Linked DNA regions of Sus scrofa. The protein of the gene in region 2 binds, or shares a complex with, the protein of the main gene of each other region. Links are inferred from orthologs where the notes say so. Each region holds a gene or a part of one and is shown on either strand. Other genes may lie near its edges.

Region 1 (4,952 bases), on a different chromosome or scaffold from region 2:
GTTCTCAAAAACCAGGTTTCACACAATGGCAGGCACTCAGTCTAGTTCCAGGTGCTTGCGGTAGGAAAGAGACCGAGCTTAATAAAGACTGGTCTTCTTCATGATGCGCAGGAACTCTTGCTCATTGACTTCTCCGTCCCCATCGCGATCAGCTTCATCAATCATTTCCTGCACAACAGGAGTCAAGTTAGATGAATTCATAAATGAAACAAAAATGTGACTAAATAATAGGCTTTTATAATGCTACCTGAATAGACAATTGTAGTCCCCCGCACACACACACACACTACAAGATGCTGCTTCTTATAATAGCTTGCCTCCCGAAAAGTTATTTGAAAACCCAGCCATCCTTTGCCACACATGTATCACCTGAGCTCGAAGATCATCTTGACCAGGGAGACGCCTAAAACCTAAAATAGTAAGTAAAACTATCCGTGAGGCAGCAGCGCCCATACGTTTGCCACACTATTGAAAAAGAAATTAAATGGTCACTAGAGGGACAAGAGAATGCTAGTTTTCCTCCAAAGCATTAGAGAAAACATAACACGGAAAAGCCACACAGGGCTCCAGGCTGACACATCACACACCTGCAGCTCCTCGTCAGTGAGGTTCTCGCCCAACTCCTTGGCCACGCGTTTTAGATTCTTGAACGATATCTTCCCAGTTTCATCGTCATCGAAGAGCTTGAAAGCTTTCAGGATTTCTTCTTTGGTATCCTTCTCAGACTTAACAAGTAGAACATAAAAAACACATGAGTAAAGAGACTCATAATTACCTGTGTCCCACAACCCTAGCACCATCCCCTCTGCCCTGCCACAACAGCACCACATGGCCTCATGACATTGGTGCTAGGTCACAGAAGATCAAAAATCAACCAGCGTAGAGAGAGGGGACAAACATGAAATTGGTACAATCCCAGAGGCTAAGAAGGAAATATAAAGGCTTGCACTTAAAACATTTTCTATACAAATGGAAGAGAAAAGTAGACTGCTTTTTAAAATACAGCAGCAGGAGTTCCCGTCGTGGCGCAGTGGTTAACGAATCCGACTAGGAACCATGAGGTTGCGGGTTCGGTCCCTGCCCTTGCTCAGTGGGTTAACGATCCGGCGTTGCCGTGAGCTGTGGTGTAGGTTGCAGACGCGGCTCGGATGCCACGTTGCTGTGGCTCTGGTGTAGGCCGGTGGCTACAGCTCCGATTCAACCCCTAGCCTGGGAACCTCCATATGCCGCGGGAGCGGCCCAAGAAATAGCAACAACAACAACAACAACAACAAAAGACAAAAAAATAAATAAATAAATAAAATACAGCAGCAGATGATGGGATTAAGTTTAGAGGAAATTCCACTGCTTAAGCTGGGATCCTCTTGGGGGCAGAGGGGAGCAGGGAGGAAAGAGAAGGCGATTTCACTTATGAGAGCACCAAGAGTTACTAGAATCCCAGGTACTCTGACAGAGGAAAAGAGGAAAAGCTTCCTGAACTCTTAACTTAGTCCCTGAAGAAAAATATGGGTGTGATTAGATGATTTCAAAGCAACAGGATTATTAGAGTGGGAAGAGACCTGTGCCTTGGGAAGCACAGCTGAAGCACTGATGGAGCTACTTTTCCACGGGCCAGTAGAATGTACATGAGCCACACTGAGGAGGAGCCAGGAGGCCAATGAAAGAGAAAGGGACCAATGGGTGAAAAGACACTTTCATATCTAGACTCAAATCTGTCCACCATTATTGGTGGAAAATACACCCATCATCTTAGCTAACCTACCATTTTCTGAGTCATCACAGTTAAAAAGTCACTGAAGTTCATTTTTCCTGTCCCTTCCTTATCGATTTCACTTATCATTTTCTTGATCTCTTCTTTCTTGGGTTCAAAGCCCAGTGCCCTCATTGCCACCTGCAATGAAAACAGGATCATCTCAATATGTACATCTAAACCCAGGGGCAAAAAATGACAGCATTGAGAGCATTAAGCCAGTATCTGACACAATCATGTTAAAATAATTAGGAAACACTATAACATTAAGCAAATTGATATTTGCACTCAATTTTGTTTAATAATACTTGAGGTAAATAAAGACAGAAAAACAGCACAGAAGAGAAAGAGGCAGAGAAAAGTCAAGGCAGCAGAGCAGGAATGTACAGGGCTTGCCTTAAGTTCTTTAACATCTATTGTCCCAGTTCCATCAGCATCAAAGAGATCAAAAGCTTCTCGGATTTCCTGTTTCTGCTCTTCAGTAAGCTCTGGTTTAGGGCTCATCCTTTTTCGCTGGGCAGCAGATGCCACGTTTGTCTTCTTAAAGTTAGAGGCCTTTATATGTTTCACAAACAGAGAAGCACGGTATTATGTAATAGGGTACATATTTTACATAAATATGTTACAATCCTATCTACTTTTAAAATAGTTTATACCAACGAATTCCAAAACTAACAGGAGAAATAACAGCGTTTAGTGAAAAGAGCAAATACTCTTTCTCTGCACCTCTATCCCTCCCTCTTCTTTACTACTGTTTCTAGAAGGAGATCCTTTGTTCTTTTGGATATCTCTTATTTGAAATCATCTAAAAAGAGAGCTGGCCAAGGAGCTGACTCTGGATAAATGTACAGATAATCAGCTCTCTCTGAATTTGGGACCCTAAATCTAAAAATGTCCTTAGAACGCTATTCTGCTTCGCTCTAAGTTATAAGATTTTCTGATTACTTCTAATTTGGCCAAATACTAAGTTAAGATGTATATTCTGTCAATATCGAATAATAAAACTCAATCCCCTCGGCACATCTGAGCCTTCCCCAAGAAGGTCAAAGCGTTTCCGAAGTCCCAATATTTAACATTTTAAATGCACATTAACAATCAAACACAATAAACTTCCCCTAGGCTCTGGGTAGAAACTTTGGTAGAGGCGGCCAGGAGGCCAGAGTCTGGAAGTGGTCGGGGTGTGCGAAGAGCCCGAGTCTGTTTTGACCAGAGGTGGTCACCGAAGGAGCCAGGGGAGCCCGAAGGACGGATAGGGGCCAGCTGTGGCTTGAATGGGACGCAGCGGCTAATCGCAGGCCCAGCAGGGCGGCCAGGATCTCTACCCTACCCTTCCGGGAAGCGCTCAGAGGAAAGAGTGCGCCAAAGCCGAGAACCGCGCAGGAGAGACGGCGGGGCCAGGCCAAGGCCTGTGAAGGGCTCAGCTTCTGGACACAGGGTTCGAAAGGGTAACAAGCACTCACCATCGCCGATGGACTCCGCTTCCCGTTGTTACGGCAACGGACGTACACACCGACTCGGCGCCCTTCCCACCGCCCCCTGCGCGCGGCCTTGCACCCCATTGGAGGACAGATGACTGCAGCTCCCCATTGGCACAGTGCTGGAGTGGGTGGGACTAACCCGACGGAGGCCTGACGCAGGGCGCAGGGCATTGTGGCGCGGCCTGGCCTTATTGGGCAGGATTACACCGCGAGCGCTGATTGGCCGAGCCAGCACCAATCCCTTTGGTGGAGGCGCCTCGGCTGATAGTAGCCTCATAAGGGTGGGGAGAAACAGGTGGTTGCTGGCGCCTGGAGCTCTGAGGCTGTAGGCTACCGATGCGCTGAGGCCGGCCAGGGAGGCACCTACCAACAGGTAAGGGTTGCGACCTCGCTCTTGGGTTGGCGATAGGACTGGAAAGGCAAGGAATTGGGTGGGGCCTTTCGCGGGGCTCGAAAAGGTAACAAGCCCTCACCCGGTCGGGGACTTTCTGGTCTGGACTAAGACTGAGTTAGGGTCAGAGGGGCCAGAGAAGACCGTGACCTTGCGTGTTGGAGCAGAGGATGTATTTACGGGGCAACTGAGACGGAGAAGGAAAGGCAGAGGCCGGGCGTTATCACAGAAATTCGGACGTCTGGGACTTAGAAGCTGAATTCATCCACCTGAGGCTCTTTCTTTGGGCGTGTCCGTCCCACCCCAAATAGATAACAAGATAGGATCACTTTAGTTCTCACCTGGCTAAAAGCAGCTCGGGAAGATGAGCTGGGGGCCTAGGAACGGCCTTTGAAGGGAGTGAAGGAGATTTGAGTGAGCATAAAGGGGACAGATCATCAAAATATACTCATTTTGACAACCAAACACTCAAGGCGGATAGTGAGGAGTATTCCAGGTGGGGACACTTCATGAGCAAAGTCACAGAGCCGTTTTGGAAAGGTGAGGCTTGCTCAGAGAATTACAAGGGGGCGTGTGCCACGGTAACAGATGAAAGGGAGCTGGAACAGTGGCCCTGGAAGTCCAAGGTCTGCCTTCCTTAGCCAGCCCAGTGTAAGGGCACTTCTTGCCTCTCAGCCCTTACCTGCTTCACCTCTGGGCATTGGCACAGCATTTTGGGAAGCAGGGGACAGAGCATAAGTTTCTCAGGCTGAAGAAAGCCTGAGATTTATTGACATTCATTAAGCGAAAATGTTTGCCGAACTTCTGCCCTTTACCCTCTTCCTCTTTGAGCACAAGCCGAGTCCAAAACCTTTTGGTCCTATTTGACTCTTCCTGCCCTGGCCCCACTAACTAGCCTCCACTTTCTGTCAGCTTCCTCCTTAAAGGGTGTTTCTTTTCTCTTTTCCACCTCTGTTGCTCCTGTCCCACTTCACGCCTTCAGCAGCAGCCCCCCTGTGGGTACAAGCCAGAGCTCTCACCATGCTCTGCAAGGCCCATCCCAACATGCTTCCTCCTCTCCCCTGGCTGCTCCAGCCCCAGGACACTAGCTTCCTTGATGGACTCAAATGCACGGACACACTCCTGCCTTCAAACTTTTGTTCCAACCATCTCTTCTGCCTGTTTGTTCTACTTGTTTCCTTCTTCCAGGTCTTTGCTCCACTGTCACCTTCTCAGTGAGCCACCCTAAGCATCCTATTTAGCCCTGCATCTCCCAGAACACCCAAACCCTACACCTTTCTCTGTTTTTATCCCCTAGTACTTATAACTGTATCCTTATTTATTTTGTTCTTCT
Region 2 (4,840 bases):
TATTTATTGAATAAAATAAATTTTTAAAAACTCATGAAGCTTTTCTTGACTAACCCAGTGAACACTGATCTTTCCCTTTTCTGAATTCCTAGCTTATTTATTTGTCTTTTTGTCTTTTCTAGGGCTGTATCCACAAAATACGGAGGTTCCCAGGCTAGGGGTCTAATGAGAGCTGTAGCCGCCGGCCTACACTTGAGCCACAGCAACACAGGATCCGAGCCGCATCTGAGACCTTCACCACAGTTCACGGCAACGCCAGATCCTCAACCCACTGAACAAGGCCAGGGTTCGAACCTGCGTCCGCATGGATGCCAGTCAGGTTTGTTAACTGCTGAGCCATGACAGGACCTCCTACCCTGTAAACTCAAATTACCAGTATAGTACTCAACAAATATACATGGAGGTGACCACTGAAGGGTAACAAACTCCCAAGAACTGGTTTACCTGCATCAGATGCCTGCTAAACAAAACTCCCGTCACAGATGGGGATGTGTGCAGTCAAACCCTTGGTGTTGAGGCCCAACACGCCCAGATGCCATGAGGACCCTCCAAAACCAAGCCCGAACCCCGGCCACAGGCAGTAAGCAGCTTGGCTTGACCCGCCCAAGCTGAAGCGCCACCTGACAACACTGCTTCCTTTGCACAACTACGCCATCACCCCTGCCACGTCCAGCGCCACCTCCACCCCCCACCTACTCACTTCTGGTTTTCCCTTCCTTCCATTTTCATGCTCCTTAGTGCCTCAGGGCCTGGTAGCCTTCCTCAACCTCCTGTCAATGCCTGACTCATCTAGTCTCCCATGATTTTATCAATCTGTTTTCAAAGAATTTTCAGTATGTACCATCTCTTGGTAAAAAGCGTTCCATATAAGCTTGCCAATAATTAAGTTATACTATATCGGTTTTTATTTTTTTCTTTCTTCAATTCTAATCCAGCTTTAAGTGAAGGTTTTAGTGAAAAGAGTGTGAATCTTCTTTTGCTTACACTCCAAAAAGTATAAAAGTGAAGACAGCCTTTCTTTCTTTTTAGGGTCTCACCTGAGGCATATGGAGGTTCCCAGGCTAGGGGTTGATTCAGAGCTACAGCTGCCGGCCTACACCACAGCCACAGCAACGCCAGATCCAAGCCGTGTCTGTGACCTATACCACAGTCACCGGCAACGCCGAGATCCTGAACCCACTGAGCGAGGCCAGGGGTCAAACCCACAACCTCATGGTTCCTAGTCGGGTTTCCCCTGCACCACGATGGGAACTCTTGAAGTACTCTTCTTAATTTCAACCAAGTATAGGGATCAGAAATCCACATGGCTTTCCAAGTGAGACCACAAAATTGTGAATCTTTTTGTTAATTCTCATCCTGATAATCCCAAATATCCTACCTGGGTCTTGTTTTGGCTTTTTGGTTTGTTTTTGTCTTTTATCTTTTGTCTTCTAAGGGCTGCACTCGTGGCATATGGTGGTTCCCAGGCTATGGGTCCAATCGGGGCTACAGCTGCTGGCCTACACCACAGTTACAGCAACGCCGGATCCTTAACTCACTAAGTGAGTCCAGGGATCAAACCCGAAACCTCATGGTTCCTAATCGGATTTGTTTCCACTGGGCCCCGACGGGAACTCCCCTACTTGGGTCTTGTAACCAGTAACCCAGGAAGGTGGTTGTTCTTAAACCTCTTCATCCTTCTGCCCCAGCATATCTGAGGAACATGGCACACTCACTGGGTGGCTCATCCAGGGCAGTGATTCTCAAGGAGAAAGAGAGCATCACAGCTCTAAACATGGTATGGATTACTACGCTTTAAATGCACTTCAGTGATTAGTTGTTCAGATACCTAAAGTCTTCCTACAACACAGTCCTGTTTTCTTGTGAATTCCCTCTCATCATTTGGCTCAGCTGGCCCGCTCAAGTGTTCTGACTTCAGGTTGATTTCCAGGACCAAAAGAGTCCTCCAGTTCCAGTTAACTAAAGCTCTTACAAGGTTCAGTGATGAACGGGCAAGCCTGGACCACCTTACAGAAGTACTGGCACCTGAGAGAGGGTCTTGAAAACACTAACGACAAACACCTAAATTTCTGCACGCTTGTCAAATGAGGCTTTGGGCAAGTTACTTTCTGAGCCTCAACTTGCTACTCTATATTAACAAGCACTTCGTAAGTTGCTGTGATAATTATCAGTGCCTGGCATAAAGCAAACGCTCGATACACAGTGGTTATGACCACTACTCCGACCACCACATTAGAGTAGGTAGGAGAAGAGTTCCCTTGTGGTCTAGCGGTTAAAGGATCCAGAGTTGTCACTGCAGCAGCTCGGGTTCGATCCCTGGACCAAAAACTTCCGCAAGCCGCGAGCGCGGCCAAAAAAAAAAGCGTAGTTAGGATAACTCAAGAAGCTCAGACAAGACCAACTAGGGCGGCAAAACTGCATTCAGTGGGGCTTTTACGCCGGCGGCACGGCAGAGCTCTCCAGGACGCGTTGGTGAGAACCGTGAGCCCGGCAAACAGTTCGAGCTGCAGGCGGGGGGCGGGGCAGCCGACACTCGCGTCTCGCAGGCAACACCTGAACTAAGAAAGGGGGGGAGGCCCCGGCCAGTGTCTGACCTTCATCTCCCGCTCGGGGATCACGGCGTCCATCTCGTCTCCCATCTCGCCGCTCTCAACTGGTCAAAGCAGCCACCGCGGCTGCCCGGGGCCTCGCCAACACTACCCAGGCGCTTCCAGGCCAACTTCCTTTCTTCAGGTTGAGCAGCGCTCCGCAGATTACGTACTTCCGGCGCGCATTGGTGACGTCAAGCTCCTCGGTCCGCGGACCTGTGAAGGGAGGCTGAGGGCCCTTCTGAAGTCTTGAGCCCTCCTGGCCGCCGCCTCCCATTGGCTGGCTTGGACCGAGTAGGGGGCGTGGCCCGGGAGCTGGGGCGCCTGCGCGCGGGAGGTCCGGTTGCAGCAGCCGCTTTAGCAGGTGGCGCGGTTTCGCTTTCGTTCTTTGAGCGGTGCACCTGCAGGGCCTCCACGCTCGTTTAATGGAAACGACACTGTAATCTGTGGATGTAGGTGGTTATTAATAGCTCCAATTGTAGAGAAGTTAGGAACTTGACAAATACTTCCAAGGGGCAGCTCCTGAGAAGGGCTTTGGAGGCCGGGAGAGTGGAGGGAAAAGTGCGGGAAGTTGGTGAGGTGGGTGTCGCCAGCGAGACTCTTCTGTGTCTAATGGCTGAAAGGGGAGATTAGAGGGCACCAGTGATTAGCTTTGTTTACGCCTTTCAAGGTAATCGTTTCCGGTGCAAGGGCCCAAAAACTGGGCAAAACACTATTTAATTTATGGTTTTTAGGCCCCGCCTGTGTGGCATATGGAAGTTCCCAGGCTAGGGGTCTAATTAGAGCTACAACGGGCAGCCTACACAGCAGGCCACAGCAACGCGAGATCCCCGACCCCACCGAGCCAGGCCAGGGATGGAACCCGCATGGTCCTGGATACTAGCCAGATTTATTTCCGCTGTGCCACAACGGGAACTCCCACAAAACACTTTAGATGTGTTGTTTACTCTTCAGTAGTCACCTAGGGGTTGTCACTGCCATTTAATTGATTGAGGTGACTGGAAGCACAGAGGAGTTAAGAAAATTCCCCAGTGCCCCTCAAGTGGTGAAGGCAGGATTAGAGTTCGGCTTGTCTGAATATACTGATTGCTGACTATGACACAGTCCTACGTAGAGATTTTTGCAGTGGAACTGTAAATGCTCTAGGACAGAGATTCTTAGCTTGGAGGCTGTGATCAGCTCCCGGGAAGATGGGGGGAGGGGTACGTATTCTGTCACTGCTTGGTTTTCAGCAGACTCCTCATCTGCTCCAAGCCTGCTTCTCATTTCTCAAACAAAAATGACATAATGGAACCTTACTCATGGGGTTGCTATGAGAAGCAAAGGAAGTTCAACGTTTAACAGCACCTGGCACACAGGACACATTCTTTTAGTCTGTCACTATATCAGCTAGTGCTTCTCAGTTTACTAAGGCCCAGAACCACCCCCAAAATACACCAATCAAGACGTTGATAAGTTTGTTTTATTTCCATTCTGTAGAGATATCTGGTACCGCACACACTCACATGCATACATACACACATACTGCATCCACCTGAATTTGCCCCATACACTCCCTCCTTTCCAATGGCAGGGGTGAAGCCATATTGGCAGCCCCCAAGTTGCTGGTTATATTAGTTAGATTTGGTCTTTCAGAGAGGAAACAGCGGAACTTCTAAGAAGCTGAGCCCATGGCCAGAAAAATAAGAGTCCTAGAGCTAATGGCCACAACCTGAAATACACACACACACACACACACACACACACACACACACACACACACACACACACACACACACACACACACACACACACACACACACACACACACACACACACACACACACACACACACACACACACACACACACACACACACACACACACACACACACACACACACACACACACACACACACACACACACACCCTTTCCAGGGACCACTCTTGAGACCCAGGAGCTGAGTTCCAAGACACGTGAAGGAACCGAGGGGGTTTCCCAGGACACTCCCTATCCAATGAGGACGCTTTCCCACCCTTTCTAGCAGCTGGGGACATGCCCACCTGCTCTCCTCTCCTTAGGAGGTTTCCTGCAGTCTTGTAAACCTGGGAACCCGCTGAGATAAGCCTAGTTGGTTCTGTGCTGAGTGGCACAGATACACTATGATGGGCAGTCAAAGAAGGCGTTAACCTTTCTAAGGTGTCAGCCAGTCCCAGAGAGGAGAGGCAGTGGGAAGGGGTGGAAACAGGCAGTTGCTCATCTAAGGTGGGAG
Region 3 (4,934 bases), on a different chromosome or scaffold from region 2:
TACAAAAAGGAAATGAAAAAGGATACTGAACAGGTGGCAAGAACTAACCACATCTTCTGTAGCGACCTGTTCAAGCCCAAGTAAAAAAAATGGCACCATTTCCTAAATGCACCTGGGACAGGAAAGGAGGCAAGTGGAAATGATGACTTATTCATTCAGTGCTGTTCTTCACTTTTGCTTCTACAATTCTTAAGTTACTACCTTTCAGTTAGTTGAGTAAGACAATAGATTTTTACCTCCACAACTTCAAGAAAATGCCATTTTAAAGATCAGAAGTTAAAAGGAAAAAGTGTAAACTTGAAATATATCTCAGCTGAGCTAAACCAGAAGTCAAAACAGGAAATTACAAGTCAGTTGAACACATGCAAAAGTTGTACGTTCTGTGTGACTGGGCAAGCCAGTTGGCCTGAAAGGTGATGACAAATATCCATTAACTAACAGTGCCAGATCTCCCATTCTTATTCCAACCCTCTACTACACAACCAAAAACTTCATTTTTGCCCAGAAACCACTGGACACTTAATCAAATAACATTAGTATAAAACATGCCATGTCATGAAGCTCCTTGCTATTCATGATGACTCAGCAGCTGCTGCAAAACATAGAGGTGACAGCCCAGGAAAGCTGACAGCAAGCAGGTAGTCCATAATCCACAAAAGTTCCAGTAAGCACTAAAGAAAGTCTTGAAGATTTTAAAAATCGTTAAATTAAATAGAATATTCTTTTGTATATTCCCAGATACTTTTCTTTGGTAGTATCTGCCAATACTAACACAATGTATCTGCAATGTTAATCAAGAAACCGCCAAACATCTTTAATCCCAATTCAAAACCTAAAAATGTTCTTTCTTTTTCAATCAGATGGCTCACGCAAATAGCTGAAAGTATTTCAGAGAGGGCGACATGATAAATGATCAAGCTCTAACACAAAACTGCAGAGTCTGAAATCCTATCAGCTCTAAGACAATTTGGATCATAGGTGTTAAATGTTGTTAAGGCATCACCTTCCCCCAAATCAGATTTTTCTCTAAGTACATTTAAAAATAAAGTGCGGTTATAGTTTTTGCTACCTGGAATATATGAGTTCTTCTCTACACTCTGCCCACATCATCCAGTGATCTGTATTTACAACATATCATTTTTTTATGTAGAAACTTTAAGGAGATGTAAGAAAGCACTGAAAGACATTTATTCCTCAGGAAAAACAGAAAGCATGTGTCTAAATTCCACTCTCCAAAAGGATTAGGTTAAATGGCCAGTCCTGTGACCTGAATTTTAATCTCAAATCTGTCTGCAAGTACCCCTGCTCCTCACAAAGAAATCTAAAAACCAAGCACTCCTGGTATATATCTGGGGGACAACTGGTGGTGGGAGCTAACAATAATGCCAAGGCTTATAACCATTAGTAGAAAGATACTTACTATTATAACCCAGTTTTTACTGTTAAGAAATTTCTCCCAAATCTTTATTTTTAAAATTCTGTTTTTTCATGATACAATTTACCACCACTAAACATGTCAAAGTGCTCATATTCATTATCATCCACAACACAGCAATCTAGGAAGTCTGCCTTCAACAGGACGCAACAAGTTTTCAGACCCTTTTGCCATACTTTAGTTTTTTTACAGGTTTAAGACATATACTTCCCACCGAGAAATTTTAAAGGGCCTTTTATTAGAATATTTAACATTTTCCTACTCAATTCCCATAACAAACAATTAACAGCTAAAAAGCAGAATTTTCTCAGACTCTAACATCTCAGTTACAATTAGACTAAACCCCTGTTCATAATTTCGAGCGCCCACGAGTACACAAGGTGACTAAATTATAAGACCACCAATATTCCTAGACTATTAAAAAGTACCTGAACTTCCTAAAGTACGTCCCATAATATTAAAATATTTTGTGCATGAGATGAGAACTGGAGTTCCGGTCAACTGTGCGCAATGGCCAATTCTAGCCTCCAAAATAAAAAGGGGAGGGGTGGACATAGTGGGGAGGGAAGAGTCTTGCGACGGAAAAAAGACGTAAGTGCGGAGAGGGACTTTCAAAATGCCCCGGTGCCACTAACTATAACCCGGTTAAGAAAACAAAAATCTAAGTCAACGCTCTCAGATCGGGAGGCACCCGGGAAGGGGAGATGGAGAATTAACTAATAGGTTGAGAGTAACTTCTTCCACTTGCCGTTTAACAGCGCCCCCCACCACCACCAACCCCCGGGGGCCCCAGAGGCCGATACCCCAGGGCAGCCCCCTCCCCACTCACGCTGAAACGCGGGAGACTAGAAAATATCAAACGTAGGGGCCTCCAGCCACATCTTTTCCTTTCTCCCATCCAGAAGACGTGGGTAACACCCTCACACCCCCAATCCCCGCCAAAAACGAAAGAATCCTAGGCCCGTCGTGGCCTAGGATTTCTGTTCCCGCCCTGCGCCGGTCGGGGGAAAGCCCCAGGCTAAGAGGGCTGGGGAGAGGCGGCCCGAACCACACGTGTGCGCCGCAAGATTGGCCTGTCTCAGCCCACTTCCCGTCGCCACCCCAGCGGCCCGAGCTCCCGCCGCCCTGCTCGGGCCTTCGCTCAGGCCCTCCCGTCCGCTCCACGTGGGGCCCCGGACCCCTCACGCCCGTTCCCTCCCCACCCCAGTGCCCGACCCGCTAGGCCCCGAGGCGCCGGGGTCCCGTACCTGGTGCTGTTGTCGCCCCTGCTGGTAAGGCTTAATTGGCCCCTGGTGGCAACGCCGCGTCCGGATCTTGCCGCCACCGCCCCCTCCTAAGCCTCCGGCTCCCGAGGCCATGGCGGAGCCTCCGCGGCTTCCCCCTGAGGAGCGGGTTAGGGGGCGGGAGAGGCAGAGGCGGCCTTGAGGCCCCCCCGCCCGGCCCCAGCCCAAAAGTCCGTCCGCGCTGCCCACACAGTGGGTCACAGGCACACCAGGAACCGCGGGTCTGCGAGCAGGAGCCGAGAGAGAATGCGCGCTGGCGGCAGCGAAGGGGGTGGCGGCGACACAGGCCGAGGACCTGGCTCCCGTCCGGCAGCCTCCCGCGGACCCCCGCCTCTGTGTATGTCACCGTCTCTATGGAGATTCTCCGCGAGGACAACACAAGAGGTTCCAAGCGCTGCTTAGGCCTAACGCGACCGCCGGCTGACGGGGATTCTTCTTCCGTCGCCCTAGCCGTAGCTGCCGCAGTTGAAGCCGCCGGCGCCGCCCGCCTACCCCTCCCCTTTGCGCACAGCGCCCGCCCCGCCGTCGTCGTCGTCGTCCCTGCAATCGCCGCTGTTGCGTCTATTACCGCTACTAAGGCCGCCGCTGCGGTCGCGAGCCAGGACGCCGTCACTAGTCAGCGCGCGACGAGTTTGCATCATCACGATGTGACCAGGTGATAGGCGGGGAGGTGGGAAGGGCTAGTCGAGCCCGCGCTCTCAGCCGCGCGGGCCGCTGGGAAACGTAGTTCAACGGAAGGAGGCGCGTGCTCAGAACGGAGGACGCGGAAGGAGAGCGGCGGTTCCCTGCAGAGGCACAAAGCCAGGGGTTCCGTTCCTTTTAACTGCTCTTGATTCTAAACTTTGAAAGAGGCATTTAACACAAACGGTAACCTCCTTCCCACTTTCCTTCTCTGGAATGGTAAAGCGGGAAGAAAGTAAGCACATAGTAAAATCACAGAGAGAAGCTAACAATATCTTATAAAAAGAAAAAAACTGGTTGAAAAGACAGTGTCTATGATCTTTAAGCCTAAAACAGAATTAGCAAATATATACAGTTTCATTAATGTCCGTTACAATAAGGGCTTTGTTGTCAAACACACAAGTGCTGTCTGGCTCCACCACTTAAGTTTGACCTTGAAGTCAAAACCTTCCGCCCCTATAAAATGGGAACTTTAAAATCCAGCTTATACAGCTGTTGCGATCATCTACGTGGAGCACTTAGTGTATTTCCTGGCATGCAAGAGATGCAATAAATGGTTACGGTGATCACCTACAGCAGTCAAGCTCACGTTAGAGGTAAGCCGTATATTACCAGTAATAAAAGTATACATATATTTGCTCCAAATAGAAGGCATTATATTTAGCAAAGTGAAAAGTGAGTTAGGCTCAAAGACTTAATCCACAAAGTATAGCGATTTTTAAAAGTTGACCGTTAGAAAGATCTGGGTGATCACGTGCGCCAGCCCTCATTCAACGGACAAGACGGGGTTCCGGAGAATTTAGTCGACATATTGGAGGACACTGAACTGGGCAGTCAAAGCCAGGACTATAACCCAACTTTTCTGTAGGAGTTGAAACAAGTAACCAAGTGATTAGAAAGAAAATCTACTTCTGTGAAAACACATGGGCTTAATGTTCCATTTGAGACAATTGATTTTAAAGCTTATAAATAGCTTTGGATTCAAATAAACTTAATTTTAAATCTATCACTTACTAGCTGTGTAGCCTTGGGTAAGTTACTGATCCTCTTTCTACGCTTCAGTTTCCTCATCTGCAAATAGAATGAATATTAACCTCAACAAGTTGGTGGTTCTGGTGAAAGGATTAATATACATAATTCATAATAACTGCTTAGACAGAAAGCATCTAATATCATCCAGTTATCTGATACAAATAATTAACCTCAAGACTTTTATACCATCTCTACCACCAAATTGCATGATTCCAATCGCTATATAAATCATATAAGTCAAAAGGTGAAGCCAAACTTAAGCAGTACCTTAGAATTTGCAGCATCTTCCAGCATAGGCTGACAGAACAAATGGCATCTCTGACCTTATCACCACCAAGACTATAAAAAGTTCCCAAATATGATGGACAAAATTAATCTACTTCCTTTTGTGCTTCCATTTTATACCTTCATGCCCCAACTCCACCACTAACTTCTCACTAGACTCTCCAGGTACACAAGCTCTTTCCCCAGAGGCACCTCATCCTTTAATACAATTGTTTGTC

The links. Proteins that work in one complex are often made in the same cells at the same time.
Region 1: NUP214 (region 2) and CETN2 share a complex: the UniProt entries of both Homo sapiens proteins name them as parts of the nuclear pore complex. The link is inferred for Sus scrofa from reciprocal best matches to the Homo sapiens genes NUP214 and CETN2.
Region 3: NUP214 (region 2) and NUP153 share a complex: the UniProt entries of both Homo sapiens proteins name them as parts of the nuclear pore complex. The link is inferred for Sus scrofa from reciprocal best matches to the Homo sapiens genes NUP214 and NUP153.

What each region holds. Positions count from the first base shown.
Region 1 is NC_010461.5:123,902,684-123,907,635, forward strand, and holds the start of CETN2 (centrin-2), read right to left. Parts: upstream 3,364-4,952; 5' UTR 3,310-3,363; coding exon 3,211-3,309; intron 2,306-3,210; coding exon 2,147-2,305; intron 1,892-2,146; coding exon 1,763-1,891; intron 726-1,762; coding exon 588-725; intron 169-587; coding exon 79-168; 3' UTR 1-78. UniProt on the Homo sapiens protein: Plays a fundamental role in microtubule organizing center structure and function. Required for centriole duplication and correct spindle formation. Has a role in regulating cytokinesis and genome stability via cooperation with CALM1 and CCP110.
Region 2 is NC_010443.5:271,101,999-271,106,838, reverse strand, and holds the start of NUP214 (nuclear pore complex protein Nup214), read right to left. Parts: upstream 3,002-4,840; 5' UTR 2,640-3,001; coding exon 2,595-2,639; intron 1-2,594. UniProt on the Homo sapiens protein: Part of the nuclear pore complex. Has a critical role in nucleocytoplasmic transport.
Region 3 is NC_010449.5:13,463,215-13,468,148, forward strand, and holds the start of NUP153 (nuclear pore complex protein Nup153), read right to left. Parts: upstream 3,364-4,934; 5' UTR 2,794-3,363; coding exon 2,683-2,793; intron 2,565-2,682; exon of another isoform or gene 2,334-2,564; coding exon of another isoform or gene 2,265-2,333; intron 2,202-2,264; exon of another isoform or gene 1,864-2,201; intron 1-1,863. UniProt on the Homo sapiens protein: Component of the nuclear pore complex (NPC), a complex required for the trafficking across the nuclear envelope. Functions as a scaffolding element in the nuclear phase of the NPC essential for normal nucleocytoplasmic transport of proteins and mRNAs.